2 linked regions of the Ovis aries genome follow. Each later gene encodes a partner of the first gene's protein in a complex. Links are inferred from orthologs where the notes say so. Each region holds a gene or a part of one and is shown in the gene's direction. Other genes may lie near its edges. The genes, in order: CLSPN and CHEK1.

Region 1 (3,922 bases):
ACTTTCAATGCTAAAACTGTGATAGTCCTGGGAAAATAGAAACAAGTTGTTCATCCTGTCAGTGGATAGGACCATCATTGGCGAAGTCAGGAGGGTAACTGTGACCTTTCTTTTTTGGTGCACTGATGTCTTCCTTACAGTAATCTTGTAAATATCTTGTAGAAGCGAGACTCAACAAGAATCTGGAGAGAAAGGAAGCTCGAACAATGCAGTGGGGAGAAGTCAGTCTTGCCTGGATAGGGCAGGATAACAAAAGAGACAGAATGGACCTGAAGGGGCAAATAGTAACCAGCACAATGGCAAGGAATTAGAACTGTCTGGGATTAGTCTGACTCCAGACATTTTTTTTTTTTTTTAACCTGCCTTGTTCAACGAGTATGGGAGTGGGATGGGTGGGTGTTTTCTGCATACTCGGATTAAACTTAAATAAAATTACAAACCTTATCCAAGGATATTCTTTGGTATCTGAGCAGCCACAAAACTTTTCTGATGTCCAGTGGCGTGAGTGCCAAGTACAAGAAGGAGCAGGTAGGATCCAGCTGCTCCAAGAAAGGAAGTCCTGGAGGAAATCGCCACTGAGGACGACCTCAGATGCCCAGGTATCTGCTTCCGGCTCACTTCCTGCCGGCAGGGCTCACTCCTCAAATTGCGCTTGATGGGAACTGTCTCGCTACGGTAAAGGTCAAATGTAAAAGACCACCACTCGCACAGTACCTTCTTGCAAGGCCAAAGGATCTGGCCGCAAGTAAGGCAGGACACCTCCAGCCTCCCCCAGCCTGAATTGACAAGAGGAGCCGCAAACCGCCAACCTCACCCAAATTACATTCAACGGGCTGGCCGAAGGCGTTCCGTGATTGGCAGGACAGCATGGGGGCGTGGTCTCACGTAGAAAGTCTCCTCCGGATTGGTGCAAATCATCGAGGGCGAGGCCTCCACTCCGGCTGGGCGCGAAAGCTCGAACGCCGCTGCCTGACTGGAGACGGCGGGAGCGGCTGAGTCCCGACGGGTAGGGGAACTGGGGACCTGTTTCCTCCCGAGTGGCGCGCTGAGGAGGCCCTGGTCATGACGGGTGAAGTGGTTTCCGAGGTGAGTTCGTGCCCTTGCCTGCATCCGTAGCTGCGGGGGCCCGGCGCCGAGGGATTGGGGGCGGGGGAGGGGGGTAGCAGGGGTCGAGCCGGCCGAGCGGGTCGCGGAGGCGGGAGGACTACAGTTCCCGGCCCGCACCGCGGCGGCTCGGCTTCTGTACTCGCGCGGAGACAAATCCGCGGGCCCCGCGCGCACGGGAGCCAGCGGTCCGCCCCGGCTCTGGGTCCTTCTCGCCTCAGTCCCTCGGCCGGGTTGTACCCGGTCTTTGCGTCGCGCTCAGCCGGCCGCCGGCCCCAGCTCAGCCTGCTCCGCCCGCCCCTTTGGCGCGTTTCCGGTGGCGGGAGCGCTTCCTACAACAGCGCCCCCCAAAGAGGAAGGACCCAGCCGAACCGGACCGCTAGGGTGCTGTGCATGCGTAATCGCTAAGTCGTGTCCGACTCTGCGACCCCATGGACCGTAACCCGCCAGGCTCCTCTGTCAGGGCAGCATAAGGAAGGGAAAGTGAAGTCGCTCAGTCGTGTCCGACTCTTTGCGACCCCATGGACTGTAGCCCACCAGACTCCTCCGTCCCTGGGATTTTCCAGGCAAGATACTGGAGTGGGGTGCCATTTCCTTCTCCAGGAGACTTTCCCGACCCAGGGATTGAACCCGGGTCTCCCGTATTGAAAGCAGACGCTTTACCGTCTGAGCCACCAGGGAAGTCGCGGCAGCATAATTCTCTGTAAATGGACGGCGGGAGTCTGAGGGAGTTCCAAACTGGGTCTGGAAGAGGCCTCTGAAGTCATCGCCCTGGGTCCCGAGAAGGGAAGGTACCACCAGTCTTGGAAGACTTCCGGGCGGTGACTCGCTGATCGTTCTCGGAACTGGCATAGAGGCATCTTTCCAAATCTGTGTTCTTTTTTGGAGCTGGGGCTGGAGTGAGACAGTATGGGGCAAAATTTAACGGGGCGCTAAAATACTCAGTAATCAAGATAATTTTTTAAACTTTTTTTATTGAAGCATAGTTGAATGACCATGTTTTGTTAATTACTACTGTTCAGCAAAGTGACTCAGTTACACTTATATACACATTCTCTTTCATATCCTTTTCCGCTATAGTTTATCACAGGATGTTAAACAGAGTTCCCTGTGCTATACAGTAGGACTTTGTTGTTCAAGATAATATTTTATGTAGTTTTTTAAAAATAAAAATTAATGCAAAAAGAATTCCATAATTTGGTTTTGAACAAGATATCAAACTGAAATGAAGACACAATCCAACCCTGTATCTAGACTACACTGCCTTACTCACCTGACTCAGCCTGGCCCAGATTCCAAAAAACTTTATAAAAGCAGGCAGCTGACCTCATGGGCCATAATTTACCCACTGCTTTTTTAAATTTTAATTTTGCACAAAAATCCTTTTGATTACTAAGTGTTTGAGACCTCCTAACCTCCCCGTGTTCCTGGCCCTGATTATTGCTGGTTCTGCTCCAAATTGCCTAGAGTAGAGTGATGAGGAGCATCACCTTGGAGTGAGCCATGTGGTTGTCTAAACTCAGTTTCCATAGCCACAAGTACTATTACTGCTTTGAGTTGTTGGGAGAATCAACAGCATACATCATGATCCTCAGTGATTCCTCTGTTTGTATTATTTTTTATTATTTTAATAATTGCACTAAATATTCAGATCAACTTAGCAGTTGTCTCAAACTGTTCGAGTGTGGTCTTGTGCCCCATTACATTACATATGTATTTTCCCCCTTATTAATAAGTTGATTCAGAGTCCTGCGAACACCAAGGTTGTGGGGGAACTGGCATCTAGGGTTAGCTTGATCATTAACTATAGTCAAGTCATCAAACTACCTCCCTTCTCCTTAGATTTTTCACTTGTGACTTAAAAAATTGGAGGGGGGTAGTTTGGGGCTGAATTTTAGACATAAACAAACAGAAAAGCTGTTAAAATGAACCCATCATCTAACTTCTACAGTTATCAAGTCATGCCAATCTTGTTTCATTTACACCCCCATGCACTTCCCCCCCTTACTGGATTACTTGACAGCAAATTTCCACACATACTTCATCCCCAAATATGTCATTATACATATCTAAAAGGTAAATGCATTCCAAAAAAGATAACTATAATATTACTACCATACCTAAAAAATTTAGAATTATTACTTGATATTAAATGATCAGAGTTCAGATTTCTTTGACTCTTACATATACTTTCAGTTTGTTTGAATTAGGATTAAGACAAAGCCTGCATATTGCAGGTATTGCTGTATCTCTGTATGTATGTGTGAATATCTTAACTCTTTTTATAAGTCCCCCTCCCTCTTTTTATTCTTGCAATTTATTGTTAAAGAAACGACATAGTTTGTCCTATAGAGCGTCCCATATCTGGATTGCCTCTGTGTGATGATATTTGACATGTCATGTGGATACACTGAGAAATAGTTCACACAGAAAAACACAATAATGCTTGATTCTCATTTACCATAACTCAAAGCGTTGCCTCTGTAATATCCTTCAAAGATGAACAATGAGTTTTAGTTTGTTTTTTCTAGCCAGTAATGTTTAATGTCATCCTTTTGTTAAACCATTGTATTGTTTTTTTCCCTTTATTTCAGACTGATGATCCCATGATGATTTATGTATCTTTATGTACTTAGAGTGTTCTGTCACTTGCTGGTTAATGCAAAGTATATTCTCATTTTCTAGGTTCACCTAGAAATCAATGATTCAAAACTCATTTCACAAGAGGAAACAGACAGTCCTTCAGACAGTGGACAGGGCAGCTGTGAAACAATTGGGCCCTTGAGTGAACAAGGTTTGTAACAGTCAGTACTTTTAT
Region 2 (3,822 bases), on another chromosome or scaffold:
CTTAAATTAATAAGATTAGAACAAACAATAGAAAGATCTTACCACTCACCCCCATAATACACATTTTAAGATGATAGGATTAGTCAGAAGGTTCTTATTAAGGAGAAACATGTCATTGAGCAAGATACATTGTTATATTGACTAAGACAAAGCAATGTAGAAAGAAGGTTTGACCTTTTTTTCTTGAGAGCCCCAGACTCCTTTCCCCTCCTTGGAAACCTTGGACTTCTTATCAACCTACCTAGGAACTGACTCTCATGAGCAAAGAAGGTTGAGTAGAGCAGATTCATAACATTCATTGTCATTATCACAAATTATTTTTTATTTTAAAAGGTTTTGATCCTGTTACTGTGTCTCTCAGTCATCATAGAACATTTTTCTGTTACCAAAAACGGTACCATTGAAATGACTGCCTTAACATTGACACTGTGCACTTGGGACATACTTATAGGCCAAGGTTTATAAAATGTGTAGTTTGCACAATTTGACAAGTCAGTCCGAGTCAGAAGTTCCTAACCACATTTCTCATAAAATCATGTAGAAAGAGCCACTATCTATTGTGTAAGTATTTTGTGTTTAAGAAATGAATTTAAATATGGTTTTTCTTCTTCAAGTTGCCAACTGGGAAAGCATTTGTATTTATGTTATTTTTTTTAGGGGCAAAGAGGCCCCGGGCTACTTCTAGTGGTGTATCAGAGTCTCCTGGTGGATTCTCTAAGCATATTCAATCCAACTTGGACTTCTCTCCAGTAAACTGTGCTTCTAGGTAAGGTCACTTAATAATTAATAAAAGATCAAGTAATTGTTGGATATAATAGTCCCCATGAAAAATAATCCATGTATATAATGTTTTCTGAAGATGAATATAATTTTTTTCAGTGTGAGAATGATAATGCCATATAAGAAAGGCCTAAAGAACTTTATTTAAAGCTATATTTTTCTCCATATAATAATGCCTCAGTGAAGAAAGTGTGAAGTACTCCAGTTCTCAGCCAGAACCACGGACAGGCCTTTCGTTATGGGACACCAGCCCTTCATACATTGACAAACTGGTACAAGGGATCAGCTTTTCCCAGCCTGCTTGTCCTGATCACATGCTTCTGAATAGTCAATTGCTTGGCACTCCAGGATCCTCACAGGTAAGGGAATTTAGTTCCTCAAATAAATAACGAAACTCTATTTTTTATTGTCTTAAAGTCTTTTTTTGTCAATTTAAGAAATACATTGTTAACACTTGATACAGATTTTCTTTTTTTGACATGGAGGAGAGAACTAGGGGAGACTTTTTTTCCCCTAATGTTTATTTGGCTACACCGGGTTTTAGCTGTGGCACACAAGATCTTCAATCTTTATTGCAGGATGTGGGATCTAGTTCCCTGACCTGGGATCAGACCTGGGCCCACTGCATTGAGAGTGCAGAGTCTTAGCCACTGGACCACCAGAGAAATCCTGAGACTAAAGACTTTTTTTCTCTTTTTTTTAGCCACATCATGGCATATGGTTCTTAGTTCCTTAACCAGGGATTGAACCGTGGCCCCTGGCACTGGAAGCAGAGTCCTGACCACTAGGCTGCCAGGGAATTCCCTAGGGGAGACAATTGTACATAAGAATCTGAAGTCAGAGAAAAGAATTTTCAGGCCAAATAGCTATAGTATGATTACTTTGGTGGTAAATCTGATAATTTATTCAGCTTTCCTCTATTCGACTTGTAGAACCCCTGGCAGCGCTTAGTCAAAAGAATGACACGATTTTTTACCAAATTGGATGCAGACAAATCTTATCAATGCCTGAAAGAAACTTGTGAGAAATTGGGCTATCAGTGGAAGAAAAGTTGTATGAATCAGGTATGTTTCATTGATTTTTGTTAGATCTTTTCCTGAAGAAAAATTTAAAATATTTGAGTAAAAAAAAGAGCTATCATTTTATGGTTGATTCATGTTGATATTTGGTAGAAATCAATGCAATACTGTAAAGAAATTATCCTTCAATTAAAAATAAATTTTAAAATGCTATCATTTTATGTATATATTAAAAATATAAAGTAATTAGTTTAATTTGAAAAAGAAACCATTGAAATTTAAGTACAATGTTTTTCCTTAAGAACTAGTATTTCTTAAAAGACTTCTCTAAGGTTATTACAAATACTAAGAGATTCAAGTCTTATTTTCTTTAAAACTATGCGTTATACTTAAATTGTAACAGCAATGAGCTTTCTTCTGTGAAAGATGGATCCGTTAACAATTCCATGCTTCCTCCATCTTCCCTGCTCCCAATTGCCGATTTTTGTTGTTTACATTGTTATAGCGTATTTATAATATTGACATTCTGATCTGTCTTTAGGCTTTTCCAAAGTCTTACAATTGTGAAAAACAAAGAGAAAGGAATATTTTGTATTAAAGGAGACTAAGACAATCATGTAAAAAAGAAGTAAACATGCTTATCTAGGTTTATAAGACCAATAAACATTTGTGGTTATTTATTGTAGGATTCTTTCAGTTTTTCTGTAGATTTGTAAACTTTCAAAATTAAAAGTTAAGGGAAAATGTTACTGTGAGGAAACCTGAAGCCAACCTGAAGCCAGCCTGATTATCCTCTCACTTATATAGATATCTTACATTTTTTTTTTTAGGTAGACTTATTGAGATAAACCTCACATGATAGAAAAATTATCACTTTAACCATTTTAAAATGTACAATTTAGTGGTTTTAAGTATATCACAGGATTATGGAGTTATCACCATTTAAATCTAGAACTTCCCACTGCCCCCCAAGTAAACTCTCTACTAATTAGCAGTCATTCTTCGTTCCTTCCTCCCTGTCAATCGCTAATATACTTTCTGTGGATTACCTACTTTTGGGCATTTCATATAAATTGAATCATATAGTATATGACCCTTTGTGTTTGTCTTCTTTTACTTAACGTAGTATTTTCAAGGTTAATTCATGTCGTAGCATTTATCAATACTTTATTCCTTTTAATGGGTGATTGATAGCCCGTTATATGAATAGACTGTTTTGTGTAACCATTTATCTATTGATGGACATTTGGGATGATGTATCTACTTTTTGGCTGTTAGGAATAATGCTTCTGTGAGCATTCAGGTTTCTGTGTGAACACAGGTATTTTAGTTTGCAAGGGCCATCATAACGAAATACCATAGAGTAGGAGGTATTTATTTGTTTATTTACAGAGATTTATTTTCCTACAGTTCTAGACACTGAAGTCCAAGACCAAGGTTCTGGCAGGGCTGGTTTCCTCTGGAACCTTGGCTTTTACATGGCCACCTTCTTGCTGTCTCCTATGCTTTGTCCTCTCTGTGCACACATCCCGTGTATCTGCCACTTTCTGTATCCTGATTGCCTTTTCTAATGAAGACACCAGTCAGATTGGATTAGAGCCCTCTGAATGGTCTCCTTTGAACTTAGTCACCTCTAAATTAAAAGACACTTGCTCCTTGGAAGAAAAGCAGTGACAAACCTAGACAGCATATTAAAAATCAGAGACATTATTTTGCCAACAAAGGTCTGTATAGTCAAAGCTATGGTTTTTCCAGTAGTCATGTACGAATGTGAGAGCTGGACCATAAAGAAGGCTAAGCACCGGAGAATTTATGCTTTTGAAATGTAATGGTGCACAAGATTCTTGAGAGTCCCTTGGACTGCAAGGAGGTCAAACCAGTTAATCCTGAAGGAAATCAACCCTGAATATTCATTGGAAGGACAGATGCTAAAGCCGAAGCTCCAATACTTTGGCCACCTGATGCGAAGAACTGACTCATTGGAAAAGACCCTGATGCTGTGAAGCACTGTAGGTACGAGAAG

The links.
Region 2: the proteins of CLSPN (region 1) and CHEK1 are in contact, whole or in part, in a crystal structure (PDB 7AKO), measured with the Homo sapiens proteins. The link is inferred for Ovis aries from reciprocal best matches to the Homo sapiens genes CLSPN and CHEK1. Residues at the interface, in NP_071394.2 of Homo sapiens: Glu938, Leu940, Leu941, Leu943, Cys944, Ser945, Gly946; in NP_001107593.1 of Homo sapiens: Lys53, Lys54, Cys57, Met61, Arg129, Thr153, Val154, Phe155, Arg156, Tyr157, Asn158, Arg160, Glu161, Arg162.

What each region holds. Positions count from the first base shown.
Region 1 is NC_056054.1:10,716,540-10,720,461, reverse strand, and holds the start of CLSPN (claspin), read left to right. Parts: upstream 1-971; 5' UTR 972-1,062; coding exon 1,063-1,086; intron 1,087-3,789; coding exon 3,790-3,898; intron 3,899-3,922.
Region 2 is NC_056074.1:26,508,152-26,511,973, forward strand, and holds part of CHEK1 (serine/threonine-protein kinase Chk1), read left to right. Parts: intron 1-657; coding exon 658-766; intron 767-961; coding exon 962-1,139; intron 1,140-1,712; coding exon 1,713-1,844; intron 1,845-3,822. UniProt on the Homo sapiens protein: Serine/threonine-protein kinase which is required for checkpoint-mediated cell cycle arrest and activation of DNA repair in response to the presence of DNA damage or unreplicated DNA.